Saccharomyces cerevisiae S288C: one gene and its partners. The gene in region 1 interacts genetically with each later gene. Each region holds a gene or a part of one and is shown in the gene's direction. Other genes may lie near its edges. The genes, in order: BIO2, YER134C, SYH1 and TRM11.

Region 1 (3,678 bases):
TCAGAAAGGAAAACGAATACATCTAACCCTATAGCTGATTGCTTCAATTTATTGGTTAGGAGAATAAAAAACTCTTTCTTTTGTCAAGCAGAACGAGAGAGGAACGCAAACCGAATGCAGGAGACTCGAAGAAAGATGCTTTCTTGACTTATATTTTTATAATTATTGGAATTGACGCTTGATCTAGTAAAGAATGAGATGGTGGCCGTATTCTGCTGACCTAAATTTAATATTTATTCTAAAAGGTCTGTTAATTTTGTACAAATCCTTGGCGAGAAGGAGAGGTGGCAAAATATTTGTGAAAATGGGAACCAATTTAATCAAATAGATGTAGCTTCTAGAAAGCCATTTTTAATGAGTTATATAGGGTCGTTGATTAGGTATCGTATCACAATGTCACAGTCTCAATGGAAAATACATCAACCATCACTCCTTCCAGTGGTAGGGAATGCTCTGCTAACATGCCTCAATTATGTGGCAACATCCTTCAAACATAGGTCATTTTCCTGCACAGTCAGCATTGTTCCCAAGGTTGTTTAACAGTGAACGGAAGAAATTTTTATCATAAAAGTCTCTAAATAAGGAACTAAGTGTGCAGAAGATGGGAATGTGTGGCTCAGTTTAATCTTCAATTCAACGTCGGATAGTACTTATTAAGGATAGCCATCTTTCTTAGTAGCCTACTCTTCTGATTCGTTTTAGTTAAGAGTGTGGAAATACTTGAATTATAGCATACAAATGGAAATGGTTAAATAGCTATACGCTCTTTCAAGTCATTGTTCTTGCTTCTGCCTTTTCCGTACAAATGTGACTATAATAGTTGCACTAGTTTAGCTTTCTCATCAGTACGAAAAATATTAAATCTCAATTAATTACTTTAGAAGGATATGATGTGGTCAATGCATCTGATCTTCTACTGACGCATTTAGGGCTTATGTGACCTAGTTATTCATTGCGAAAGCAGAACGTACTACCATTTACGAATCTGAACTTCGAATAACAACAGCAAGAGGCTCTAGGATGAAGTCTTCCCGGAAACCATTACTCCAAAGTAGGTAGCTGTGGAAAGCAGCTTCCAGATAATAGTAAATGGATAACCGTTTCTAAGCGACCTTATTTCAGTCTTGAAAATACTTACCCATTTTGCATCGATTGGGAACTGAGAACCTACAAGCCGTAAGATTGCGTAGCTTTCTCTTGGGGTCCGTGAGATCCGTATTCTGCATTATTACTGCATCTCCAACGAAACTACCTCATTGTGTGAAACTACTATTTCTTGCAAGAAGTTATGACTGCGATGCAAATTACAAAATATACAATTGTAAAACGGCTTAATAGAAAGACATTAGTAGCCCTTGGTCATTACCTTCATATTCAAATAAGCTAATGATCAAATAAAAAAGCCCAACGATATTGCCTGTTGCATCTAAAATTTTCCAAGTCAAACGAGTTCATATTATATACTATGTATGGAATATATATATATAATTTTTCATTTTATTTTCAAAAAATGCCACTGCGCAAATCTCTGTCCATCAGTACTGTTCTTTACAATTTTATCGTGGGAAGTTGCGGAGGGGCGTGTTGGCTAGCAAAAGATAGTCATGTCGAGATGACTCGCGGATGAAGTCTCGCGTCTTCTTCGAAGCCATTTTGCCGGCATTTGGTTATGGAAAAAAGTTGTTGAAAAGTGCAAAGCATTAGAACCGTCCCTGTCACGCTGGTGCCCCCACAGATTTCACGTGAGAGACGATGCCTGAGGAAAATCCGCTACGCTGCTGCCTAATCTGTATTTACAGGCTATGTAGTTCGTTTGCCACTCTGCTAGATTCTCTTGGTATCTTTTATTTCTTCTCTTAGGCAGATCTTATATAAAAGGGCAAAGCTTTTTTTGCTCCCATACTTGCTGAAAATTTTTCAGATCTTACTCTTCTGGTAGTGGTGTCCTCAGAAGAGCTAACTTAGCCGATTATTTTCAATTTAGTGCAGTATGATGTCTACTATCTACCGTCATTTATCTACCGCTAGACCGGCTTTAACTAAATACGCAACCAATGCCGCAGTTAAATCGACAACTGCATCCTCAGAAGCTAGTACTCTGGGTGCTCTACAATATGCATTGTCTTTAGATGAACCAAGTCATTCGTGGACAAAATCGCAATTAAAAGAAATTTATCATACCCCACTGCTCGAACTTACTCATGCAGCACAATTGCAGCACAGAAAGTGGCACGATCCAACCAAAGTGCAATTGTGCACATTGATGAACATCAAATCTGGTGGTTGTTCTGAGGACTGTAAGTATTGTGCGCAGTCTTCGAGAAACGATACCGGTCTAAAGGCTGAGAAAATGGTTAAAGTGGATGAAGTGATTAAAGAGGCAGAAGAGGCCAAAAGAAACGGATCTACTAGATTCTGCCTAGGTGCTGCATGGAGAGACATGAAAGGTCGTAAATCAGCCATGAAAAGAATTCAGGAAATGGTGACCAAAGTGAATGATATGGGGCTAGAAACGTGTGTTACTTTAGGTATGGTTGATCAAGATCAAGCAAAGCAATTGAAAGATGCAGGTTTGACTGCATACAACCATAACATCGACACTTCCAGAGAACACTATAGTAAGGTCATCACCACGAGAACCTACGACGACAGGTTACAGACCATCAAGAATGTCCAAGAATCTGGAATAAAAGCCTGTACCGGTGGTATTTTGGGTCTCGGTGAAAGCGAAGACGACCATATAGGATTCATCTACACATTATCCAATATGTCTCCTCATCCTGAGTCCCTACCAATTAATAGACTAGTTGCTATCAAAGGGACTCCAATGGCTGAGGAACTTGCCGATCCAAAGAGTAAAAAGTTGCAATTCGACGAAATTTTGAGAACCATTGCCACAGCGAGAATAGTTATGCCAAAGGCCATTATAAGACTTGCCGCTGGTCGTTATACAATGAAAGAAACAGAGCAATTTGTCTGTTTCATGGCAGGTTGTAACAGTATCTTCACCGGTAAGAAAATGCTGACGACAATGTGTAACGGTTGGGACGAAGACAAGGCAATGTTGGCTAAATGGGGATTGCAACCTATGGAGGCATTTAAGTACGACAGATCTTGAAGATAGGGATATGTGGATAATTCTACGATTCTAACTGTACATTTCTCCCTTATTTATTAAGAAAACCTATATATATATATATTTACCTATTTATTCTGCCATCGTTAGCTGGCGTTTTATCTTTTATGCATCCAATATCTAATATTACTTCCGATCACGCATTTAGTTCTGATTACAGCAGAAATCGTAGCGCGATGAGACATTTCATCAAATGGCCTTTTTTTTTTGGGCAATTTTTTTATATCTTGAAATGATAGTTGCCTTGTACTTTCAACCGTTCATTTCATTAAGAACTTGACTAAATATGAACATTTCTTAAAAAAAAGGTTGACATATAAAAATAATCGAATATAAACGATGGAATTTTTATAAAATTAAACACATATATATATATATATTAACTATAAATATGTCAAAGAAACCATACAATCATAGATTTATAACTATCTTTTGGATGACATTAATGAACATAACGCTCCTAATACAAATGTCCAAAAAATATTACCCGCAAATACGAATCTTTTTTTTTTCTCGATGAAATTTTGCAAAGAGTTCGAAAT
Region 2 (2,992 bases), on another chromosome or scaffold:
GAGTAAACCAGATAAGATACATTCGGTAATACCGGTACCTAAGACAATCACGTCGTAGTCAGTGTCTATTGTTTCTTGATCCATTGTGTTATGCTATATAAGTGGTTATTCACTAACAGTTATGATGGAAGGGGAGTAAAGAAAAGGAAAAGACTAATTGCAGTCCTGCTTTGAAAAATATCCTTCCTTGAAAAAAGACTATGTTAGAAATTTGATGGGACGACGTCTCAAGCAAGAATGAAGTAGAACCTTTTCTACTAACAAAATCGGGATAAATCAGCCGACGTGTTGAAACTACATCTACAATCCCTCGCTGAAGCTTCCCACGGCCAAGATTTTGGAGCCCACAGGAGAGGGGAAAACACCGCCAATGTGAGATAAACGATTCAAACATAAGGGTAACCTAAAGATAACGGTTTTGAGCGTTTACGGCCTACTTTACTATGCAACAGCAGATGTTGGATAATAGAGAAGTTTGAGTGATAGATTGTAGAAAGTACAAGAATATGGGTGTATTACGGGAGTTAACAGAGGTATGTACTTTATCAAATGTGGTCTGATATTTTTTTCTTGAAAACAGTCTTGGCTATGTAATTTTTTAAGTTTTGCGCCTTTAGCTCATGTTTAGTTTCTGGTGGGGGAAGCGGTAATTATTTTAAAGTAGCCAACATAAGCAAAATATATGGAGAAAAAGAAGAATACCGTCGGAACCGCTAAAAGTATGTTTTTGTTACAGGATTGTAAAGCTTGTATCGCTTGGCAAGAGTTTGATTGGCCATTCTTGTAACTATTAGTTATTAAGCGGATTTGTCTCTTTTCAACTAGTTTCGAAGATGTCTCAAGAGATTGGAAGTAAACATTGCTTAGTATGAAAGGAATGCCCTTTGTAAATTAACGTAAATTATAACGTTTTCGAAAAAAAAAATTGATTTCGCCCAGGATCGAACTGGGGACGTTCTGCGTGTTAAGCAGATGCCATAACCGACTAGACCACGAAACCTAATTTGTTGAAAAAGTTTCATTAAAAAATAGAATATATCTACAATTCTTAAGATTTACACATGAAATTGTGGAGATGAAGCTCTAAAATATCATTGCTCAGTTATATCGTGTAATTAGTGTATTATCACGTACGGTGTAAAGAGGATGACATGAAAATCGAGAAATAGTCATCAAACCTCTTATCCCGAAAATGACAATACGTCAGGAACATATACACCACTTAATGAAGGGTAATTGATTATATCCCAATAAAGTGAATCTTAGTTTATTCGAAGTTAGTTGTCGATTGTCGTTTGAATATCCCCTTTGAGTTTAACGACCACAAATGCAAGGTTGATTAAAATCTTTCAAGCATGACATGGACTTTAAGAAACTTACATAATTCACAGAAAAAGGTCTTGGTCGATATTACAATTTGGTTAGCACTTTCTCCATACGGTGACATGGCGTTATTTACAAGTTTTGAGAATATAATCGGCGAATATTATAGGTACTCTATACTACCGTTACATCAAAACTTACACAAGTTACTATTCACTCTTTTTCTAATATGCCTCGCTAGTTGGAAAGAGGGAAACAGATCTTGCAGATATAAATGGCAGAAATTTGTGTGCAACAAGCTAAATTCTCCTGAAACAAATTTCGTACCCATTCGCACCTCAGTGAATAAGAACTCTAAAATGATTGTTGAAAAGCAGATAAGCATTCATATTTCTTTAAAGTGTATTGTTTACAAAGAATACTAAGGGATTGAGTAGAATATTTTTCACGCACTAGAAGAAGGACCTGCCGAAAAGGAGACCTTCTCGAGAAACAAGCATTTTTGTCCTTAAACTTACAAAGAGAACAATTTTGTTACAAATCCTGCTCCAAAATAGTCTCAACGCGTTTATTATGACTGGATACCCTGACGTGGCCGCCTTCGATTTGGACTACACCATTTGGCCCTGCTATTGTGATACCCATTTGCACGGTCCCTTTAAGCCAGTTAAAAGTAGTAATGGCGAAGTTCTCACAATTATATGTAGAGATGGTTACGAGCTCACAATCTACAAAGATATCCCACGTATACTAGGTGATCTTAAAGATAATGGAGTTAAGTTAATGACCGCGTCACGAACGTGGGCACCTGAGATTGCCCAGGAAATACTGAAAATATTCAAGGTCAAGTATGCTGGTGTCGTAACCCCGTTGGCCAACCTGTTCGATGAATTTCAGTGGGGAGAAAGAAGTAAAATTGGCCATTTAAGGGACGGTTTGAAAGATCTTTATAATACCAGCGATTTAAAATCGAAAAAGATTTGTTTATTTGATGATGAAAGTAGAAACAAAGAAGTGGAGAAATACGGAGTGAAGTTTGTTTATGTAAGAGACCCAGAGAATGGACCATCTTGGAAACTTTATCAAGATTACCTGAGTGGAAAGGTTTGAAGGACTGCGCACTTAGTTCACAGAGCATCATCTGAGCATAAGAAGAAGTCATTACATTTATGGGAAGATGATACATCACTGTTAAAAATTATATATTTGTGATTTATCAAAATAGAAGCTCACTTTTAATTTAAAAACTTTAACCAATCCGCCTCAGCCTTTGTACTAATTTGTTCTTCCAAAAAGAGTTTTCATAACTTAACCATATATCTATGTATAAAAACCTGGTTCATTCACCACTTTTCACTACTAAGTTCAGACAAATATTTTCAAATTTCAGTGCAAGAAGCTCTTAACCATCTGCTTTTCTCCAATGATCTTCATACACGTTGTAATGCTACTGATAGCGTTTGAATTTTAAGTGTACGAAACATTATGTGACGAACATGAACCTTAACCCATTATTTTTAACAGAGTAGTTTAACTACGTTAACCAAAAAAAAAGAATAACTTTTTTTCGCAGGCAAATATGCATTTCTTATTCCAACACTATTGATTCCTGCCATAGATTGATGATTTTCCTAAAACTAGAATGTAGAACAAAAATACTCAAATGATA
Region 3 (4,850 bases), on another chromosome or scaffold:
ATTATAACGGGAGAAAATAACGGGAAATCCACAATCCATGAGGCAACATCCTTATTGACAGCATGATAGATATTTTTCCCATGCTCACTTTGTAGCACCAACTGTCTCAATCTTCCCAGGGGAGTAGGATTCTCGAAAATGGAATGGTTTGGCTCTCTCGTACAACCGCATACAATGTCACCTTTTTTCAGTTTCAGAAATTTGGTTATTAGATGTGGGTTTTCAAACGTGGCAATTGCATGAAAATTCTCAAACCAATTTGAATTAGCTTGTTCGTCATTTTCAATTGGTAGCACTATTGGAACTCTATAATTGTAATTACTGTTATTTGTCAGAAACGACCATCGTTCTTTGTACTCTTCCATATTTGAAAAGGCACTTCTTAGAATAATTACTTCAAAAACGGGAAATTTTTTGTTCAAATGACTAAAGGCATTGAACTCGCCTAAATTGATAATCTTCAAATCTGGCGCTCTCAAATCTGGCTTGTCAATACCATATGAGGTCATGGCTTGTTCGTAGGTCATACGAAAGATAGATACTGTGCCGTTTTCCTTTTTCGCAGGCACTAATGTACCCTTACTGTCTAAAGTCAATAATCCTCGTTTTTTGGAAAATTTACTCCATACCCCAGAAACTGTCTTTTCTATGATTTTCATGACATCTTCAGAATTAGCAAAGGCCATTTCCATATCAACCTGTGTAAACTCAGGCTGCCTGTCTGCTCTTAAATCTTCATCTCTAAAGCACCTTGCCATTTGATAATATTTGTTGACACCACTAGCCATTAAGAGTTGCTTGTATTGTTGAGGGCTCTGATCTAGAGCATAAAACGATGGTTTACCATCGGATCTCTTTGTCCTTGTTGGAACCAGAAACTCTCTTGCGCCTTCTGGGGTAGCTTTAAATAACATTGGGGTCTCGACCTCCGTAAAATCAAAATTGTTGAAGGAGTTTCTTATTTCCTTAGAGATAGATGACCTCTTCTTTAAAAAATCTTGATATTTGGGATTTCTCAATTGCAAATAGCGGAACTCAGGTGGGTATATGGCTGACAATTTAAAATCCTGCATTTGCGCTGGTTTTTTATTAGATGCATTTAACACAGTAATATCCTCCAATTGCACTTCGTACTCATCTGCGTCCTCATTTGATAGCTTCCTCTTCAAAGAGAGTATACCTACGGCTTGAACCACATCCTCTAAAGTAAAGCCTTTCAACAACGATTTGTTATCAACCAACTGGATAATGTCACCGTTAGAGTCCCTTAAAAGTCCGAAGATCAAATTTTTCCCAACTCTTTTTGGCTTCTGCTCTATCCATCCATTGAGTACTATTTTCTGGCCGCTAGACAGTCCTTTTAACTGTTTGATGGTCGAGGTGTCCTTCCTAAAGAGAAATTTTTTCTTAATAGCATTGGCTTCTGGAAAGTCTGCCAACCGTCTAGTGATTGTCTGCAAGCACACCCTGGAACGGGCCAACATGATTAAAACTTGTAATGTTTAGTCTTTTCAAAAAAGCATGCACTCAACTGAATCAAAATGTTAAGAAAACATGAATAATGAATAAATGAGGCATTCAATGCCATCTATTACTTCCTACTCCCATTTTCACCTTATTATTGTACTTTGGTACGGCAGTAGCTTTCTGAAATTTCATCTACCAAACTTTGCAAGCACGAAAAAGAAAGCAAAACATTTCATTTACCATGGACGCATGGAGAAGGTCGATTTTGCCACAGCTTGCACAAGATTGGCAGTGGCAGTAAGTGATGAATCCTATCAACTCTCTAGCGTTTGACCTTCACAGTGTTAAACTTGCAGACGCGAACTCAGACACTGCTGCATTATCAAATAGCAATACTCCAACCATGAACAATGCGGCTCTTTTGCAAAGGCCCTCCTCCATTATGGATTCTATTGGCGTCCAAAGAGTTCCATCTCCTTTTGTGCCAGGGAGTAATGCGATTAGTGGAGCCAGTACTGTTCCCTTCAATGCATATGACGCTGAAATTACTGGATCTCCGCTACAAATATCTGCTAATCAGGAAAACAATAGTGCATTTAGTGCAGCATCATCCAACCTGCATATGAACGCCAGCAGCCCTTCCGTTCTCAATAAACCCTCGAGCACATTTCCAAATGTAGCTCCTTATCTCTACAACGCAACAGGGCCTGCCCCCAACGTTGGTAATCAACCCCCACCACCGGGGATAGAATCTCAGTGGAAATACATTGACTCTAATGGTAACATTCAGGGGCCTTTTGGTACCAATAATATGTCACAGTGGTATCAAGGAGGTTATTTTACTCCAACTTTGCAAATCTGTAGATTAGCAACATCTCCTGAGCCATTTGGTGTAAATGATCGGTTTATTAGACTAGGTGAATTGACTACTCTGGTGAATAATTATCAAGACCCTTTTGTCGCCTTTGATTTCATTGTTATTAGAGCTTTGAATGCTGTTCCACTTGTTGCACCAACTTCATCAGAAAAGCAAAAAGTTGAGTCAAGAGATTTGATACCTGTTGCTGATGTGCATAGTGATGATTTTACGTATGAAGAAATCCTTGGCCTTAAATTTGAAGATGGAAGTTACTATCATGAAACTCAGGTTTGGGTTCCGGTTGACGGCCGTCATATCACAAAGGTAGATCGCATACCAAAGATATCTGCATATACCGCTCCTCTATCCACGACTTCTAGTAGATCTAATAAAACCACTTCTTCCCATGAAGAGAAGGTTCCTTCCCACGAGGAAGCTTCTCCAGAGGAGCAAGAGGTTTTTTCAGAAGAGGGCAGAACTGTTTCTAACATAACAAATGAAGAGGAATCTATTGTCAAAAATCCTACTAAGCAGGAGGAAGAATCTCGAGGAAGCGAGAAAGAGCAAAATATATTGGATCAAGTTCAACCAGAGATTGAAGAGGTAGACCGTAAGGATGTAATATCCACTGCTGATGAGCCGAAAAGCAAAGATACGCCGCAAATGACTTCTGAAGAGCAGAAAAGGTTTGCAAAGGCAGAACTGATGGCACAAAAATTATTGGAAGAACAACAAAGACAAGAAGAAGAAAAAAAGAGAAGAGAAGAACAGCGCAAATTAAAGAAGGAGAAAAAATTGAAGCAAAAGCAGAAAAAGGAAGAAGAGAAGTTAAAAAAGAAGAAGAAGGAAGAAGGAAAATTAGAGAAAGAAAAGCAAAAAGAATTGCTAAATAACATTTTAACTGGAGATACAGAAACTCCATCTTCCGAAAACACCGCAACTTCCATAACCACTAATTTGGCGCCTTGGGCTAACAAGAAACCCGAGGGTGCTGTTTATAATCAGATTTCATCTGCTCTTGAAGATTTGAAGAAGGAGAACTCGTCCAAGAAAGAAAAAAAACCTAATCGTACTCAGTTAGATCGTGAGCAGGCATTAAAACTACAGAAAGAAATATTAAGCTCGGCGCAAATTCCGAAAACTCAAACTGGTTCTGCCTGGGGTATAAAGCCACAGCAACCGATCAAAGTTGATATTAAAGGAGAATTGATGAAAGACAGTACCAAAATTAACAGTCAGTCTAAAATTAACAAGGCCAACAATGGTGATATTAAACCAGATTCCACTTTTATTGAAGAGCAGAAAAAGCTGTGGGAACAAGTTCAAAAGAAAACAAAGAAATTCAACCGCGCTTCTTCACTCGATGATTTCATTTCAAGAACGCCTTCCCCATCTTCTTCGGCATTGAACTCTTCGAATACTAGCAATGCGTGGACCACGGTTTCTTCTAAGAGCACAACCCACATCGCTTCCACCATGCCTGTCGCTGGTAACCAGTCAAAGTCATATATCAGTTTGGACACACTGCGTTCTTCTGGGGGGTTATCTACCGCAACAAAAACTAAAATGAGCGATAAGAGTAAACAAATTGGCTCATCCACTAGTATCCCGACTTTAAAGGCCCGTCAAGTTAAACCGTCTCGCATCCCTGCCTATCCCGGTAACGCTTCTGTCTCTAAGCGTCAAGAATTTTTGAGATGGTGCCGATCCCAATTAAAACTAAATACGGGTGTTCAGCCCGATAATGTTTTAGAAATGCTACTTAGCTTGCCCCCAGGTTCAGAATCCAAGGAAATTATCGCAGATACCATATATTCCTACAGTTCAACAATGGACGGTAGGAGATTTGCCACTGATTTCATCAAAAAACGTCTAGAATGCGAAGAAGAAATTAATGACCCCTTGAGCTGGAGTGAAGTATTAGCTATGCCTGAAGGCAGTTCCGAAGACTGGGAATTTCAAGTTGTTGGTAAAAAGAAAGGAAAAAGATTTTGAAGCCTTTTTGTTCCATAGTAGTTGTTTACTACGCGTGTATATCTTCTATTCAATGTATTAACTAGTATAACTCCCATCTATTTGTATAATTAATTGAAATTAAATATCTTGATAACTAATAACAGTACTAAGAACGCTACAATAATATGTTAGCGTGTGCAAACTACCTATAGCTAGTATATCGATTAAATGTTTGAAGCCACATGAATTGAGAAAGGTAAGCACATTTTTCAAATTGCAGAACGTATCATTTAGCGAATCTATCGTCTGTTTGAAGGTTCTTAATGGAGATGAGAAGTGTTTAAGTTGGTTGAGCGCATAATCATTTGTTACGTGTATTTCTTTTCTTTTTTTCTTTTTTTTTTTCGAAGGCAATGAAAAAAGAAATTTAACGAAGATGATTCTAGAAGATTCCTTTTCCAAAGAGCACTACTTGTCAATATAACCTTAGTGATAAAAGTTACTGTCCATTTTAAACTCCCTCTGTCTTGATTTTTCTTCTTATAACTCAGTTAGTTCTGATTCTTAT
Region 4 (3,788 bases), on another chromosome or scaffold:
AAAACCTCTTGATTGACCGGTATCCTTATCTAACATCAGTTGCGCATCGATAATCGTACCCCACTGAGAAAAAAATTCTTCAAATTCCTTTGGTCTCACATCAGGACCAATACCACCAACAAAGATTTTACCGGTTTTATCTTGCTCGTCTCTTGGGATAGCTCTTTTTGGGTCGATAACTTTACCATCGAGGATATGTTGTGTCTTTACCACTTCATCAACACTAGAAGGTTTTTCAAAAGATAAGAAACCGAACCCTCTAGATCTACCTGTTGCAGGGTCTTTCATGATTTTCAAATCAGTGACGGTACCATACTTACCAAAATATTCGCGAAGATTATCTTCCGTAGTGTCCCAATTCAGACCACCAATGAACATCTTGCAACTTTCTTTAGACAAATCCGCTTTCGAACGTTCCTCTTTGGTTTGAGTTACTTGCTGTTGAGGTGGTGATTGAGAAGATGGTTGCTGGAATTGTGACATGGTTTGTTGAAGTTGTTCCCAAGGTAAGCCAGAAGGTCCTGCAGAACTAGCGTTGGCATTGGCATTTGCTGATGTAGCGCTTTCTTGTTTTTTTTCATTCTTAGTGTCTTCATTGGAACCTTCCTTGTCATTCGCAGTGCCATCTTGCTTACTAGAAGATGTGTCTTGGTTACTATTATTACTACTACTGTTGTTACTATTTGGATTATTTAGTTTGTTCAAGCTAGAAGATAATGCTTGTAGTGCGGCTAGTTGATCTAATTGCGAGGTACCACTGCCAGCCTTATTTTGTTCTTCTTCTTTTTTGACTTCTTCAGTAGTGGTAGGCTTATCATCGCCGTAGATGTCGTTGAAATCTTCTTCGTCAGAGCTCATTGCTTATTTAACTTATTCTCTATTTTCTCAGACTTGTGTATACTGCTAAAGTTCTTTATAAATAAAATATTTGCGTCTTTTATGAAAAGATTGTAATATAAACAGTAATATTAATACAGAATAAAAAAGGGCCAATTGTTTGTATTATGCACGCTTTTTCAATTTCTTGTTTATTGAGTATACCTTTTCTGTCCGTATTTTTTCTTTTTGTTTCTTTCGCAAAAAAGGTTAGAAAGAAATCTAGTAAGGTATGAGATTTTAGTTATTAAACACTAAAAAGTAAAAGATACACGTAAAAAATTTATAACAGTATATTGTACTAATACTTGACTATCTGCAAAATTAAATAACTAGTCGAAACTGTTCAATCCTTTGTTTTTAATTACAGTGGCGGAAAGGAGAGAGCGGAAGAAAATTTAAGAGCGCCTGGGCGTGTGGAAAGCATGCGCCTTTTATACTTTTTTTGCTTTGTCCAACAAGAAATCTCGGCGCTGCTCGTAGGGAGGGGCTGCAAGAAAAAAAATAAATAAAAAAAAGAAAGTATTTCCGGGTAAGATTAAAAATGCATTCGATTTAGCCGCCCAGTATTTCGCAAGATCTTCCAAGGTTATAGATGTTTAGAAGAGAAAGAAGTTGGGATCCTTAAGAGCATGTTTCTTTTTCCACGCATCTACATTAGGATTTACTCTTTGTTTTTCAACTTCTGCGCAAGATCTTCAAGAACAAATCGAAGAGATAAAAAAATTGATATTTATAGTCAATAGGTTTTCGATAGCATGACCCTCCGGACTTTTGATGGATAGATAAAGCGAAATTTAGAGGGTTTTTGATCTTCTTCCTTGCAGCAACCTATATTTCTTAGTATTTTGTATATCAATAGCCTCCATAATGTTATCTATAGCTATTAGTACTTTAAGAGACTTTTATTACCCGTATTTTGGATTCTTTTCCGAAGAAAAAAGAAATGTTTACGTTGTGGGAAAAGTGAAAAAAATCGATGATTATGGGCATCGAGGTCTTAATACCCGTAATATGGAGATGAAATAGCATAACTAAACACATTGTATATAAGGTAAAAACGGCAGCATGAAGAAATATCTGCTGTATATGGTACAAGTTCATTTGAACTTTAGAAGAGCAGAACTGGAATCGTTAGCAGACCTATATAATCTTTCCATAGACTTTTCGCAGTACGATGCCAATAGCCCTTTCTTTATTGTAGAGCTGGAAAATGATCAGCAAGCAAAGGATTGGATTAAGAGGTCTATTTTAACCAGAGGTATTTATGAGTATTGGGGGCAGGGTACAACGCTCGATGAGCTGCATAAAGATATTCAGCGTCAGTCTAACTTTGAACAGGATCTGCAATTGAAATTCAAACATTCCACTTTTAAGTTCGAATTCGAATGCTATAAAGGCAACAGTAAAGCTAAGAGGGTAGAGCAGATTGAAACTTTCCGTTACCTTGGCTTTGAAGGAAAGATTGATATGAAACATCCTCAAGAGGTTTTCACTGTTATAGAAGAGTACACACCAATATCGGAAAACGTTGGTGGTAAGACCCCCACCAGGATTTATTTTGGTAGGCAGGTTCAGATGAGCAATAGGAGTGCCATGGAGAAATATGATTTGAAGAAAAGACCTTATAAAGGTACAACTAGCTTCGAAGCAGAATTATCGTTGGTCAGCGCCAATATAGCTCAAGTGAAACCGGGAACTATAATGTACGACCCGTTTGCAGGTACAGGATCCTTTTTGGTAGCTGGTGGGCATTTTGGTTCTTTAGTGATTGGTTCGGATATAGATGGCAGAATGATTCGTGGTAAGGGTGCTCAAGTGAACATTTCGGCCAACTTCAAAAAATATGGCGAGAGTTCTCAATTCCTCGACGTGTTGACCATGGACTTTACAAATAACGCATTAAGAAACAATCTTGTCATTGATACTATTTTGTGTGATCCTCCATATGGTATCAGAGAAAGCATAAAAGTCCTAGGTGCTAAGGATCCAGAAAGATTTCTAGGCAAGGAAGATATGGAAATTGACGGTGAAAAGGCATATTTGCGTCGCGATTATATTCCAACCAAAAAACCGTATGCTCTAGATTCATTACTGGATGATCTTTTACAATACTCTTCCGAAAGATTACCGATTGGCGGAAGATTAGCCTTCTGGATGCCCACTGCAAACGACGCCAATATTGAAACTATTGTCCCAATGCACGAAAATCTAGAGCTAAAATACAACTGCGTTCAAGAATTCAATAAATGGTCAAGGAGACTACTGGTTTATATTAATAGGGGTAGCACTTTCAATGGATCAAGTAATCATGGCATAAAACGTTCAAAAGATAATTTCAGGGAGCGGTACTTCAATAATTTTAACTGAAATGATGCATAAGCCCTTTGTAATTTTAAGATATATTTACTTACTCTTTCTCTTAAAGAAAAAAAAAAAAAAAGAAGAACAATTTATCTATACCTATATTTATGTTTATGTTCCATCATGTAGAAAAGTTTCATTTAAAATTAATAGCCCGTCAAAAATACAAGTGAAAAAAAATAAAAATTAAAAGCTCTCTATTTCTTATAAACTAACATAGCAACGTTCTCTAAAGAAACATCGGATTCTACGTACCTTATCAGCTCCGCATTAAACTCTGTAAACTTTTCTTTCACATATACCAACCTGCCCTCGTCGATTACACGCCTAGCCATTAATCCAATATTTTCTCTCTCTTTAATGGTTATTGTATATGGCTCAGCCCCTTCAAACGATTCGACAACGTTTACTATATCTGTAATAGCCGTACCTGGTTTCCTTCCGCAGGTACCCCATGAACAGAGTTTAGTTAAAACGCGGAAAAAGGTTTCGTACGTCAAGATGGAGCCATGGGCCCTATACTTTTCAACAAGTGATGTAACGTAACT

Evidence for each region.
Region 2: mutations in BIO2 (region 1) and YER134C together harm fitness more than expected from each alone (negative genetic interaction), as found in Saccharomyces cerevisiae (one large-scale study listed by BioGRID).
Region 3: mutations in BIO2 (region 1) and SYH1 together harm fitness more than expected from each alone (negative genetic interaction), as found in Saccharomyces cerevisiae (2 studies listed by BioGRID).
Region 4: mutations in BIO2 (region 1) and TRM11 together harm fitness more than expected from each alone (negative genetic interaction), as found in Saccharomyces cerevisiae (2 studies listed by BioGRID).

What each region holds. Positions count from the first base shown.
Region 1 is NC_001139.9:1,063,253-1,066,930, reverse strand, and holds BIO2 (biotin synthase), read left to right. Parts: upstream 1-1,990; coding exon 1,991-3,118; downstream 3,119-3,678.
Region 2 is NC_001137.3:436,708-439,699, reverse strand, and holds YER134C (Mg-dependent acid phosphatase), read left to right. Parts: upstream 1-1,896; coding exon 1,897-2,433; downstream 2,434-2,992. Other genes in the region: GDI1 (Gdi1p), read right to left, coding at 1-84; YER135C (uncharacterized protein), read left to right, coding at 1,356-1,748. UniProt on the Saccharomyces cerevisiae protein: Magnesium-dependent phosphatase which may act as a tyrosine phosphatase.
Region 3 is NC_001148.4:352,334-357,183, reverse strand, and holds SYH1 (Syh1p), read left to right. Parts: upstream 1-1,771; coding exon 1,772-4,321; downstream 4,322-4,850. Other genes in the region: aspartate--tRNA ligase MSD1, read right to left, coding at 1-1,484.
Region 4 is NC_001147.6:84,914-88,701, reverse strand, and holds TRM11 (tRNA (guanine-N2-)-methyltransferase), read left to right. Parts: upstream 1-1,944; coding exon 1,945-3,246; downstream 3,247-3,788. Other genes in the region: HRP1 (Hrp1p), read right to left, coding at 1-858; TRM13 (tRNA:m4X modification enzyme), read right to left, coding at 3,438-3,788. UniProt on the Saccharomyces cerevisiae protein: Catalytic subunit of an S-adenosyl-L-methionine-dependent tRNA methyltransferase complex that mediates the methylation of the guanosine nucleotide at position 10 (m2G10) in tRNAs.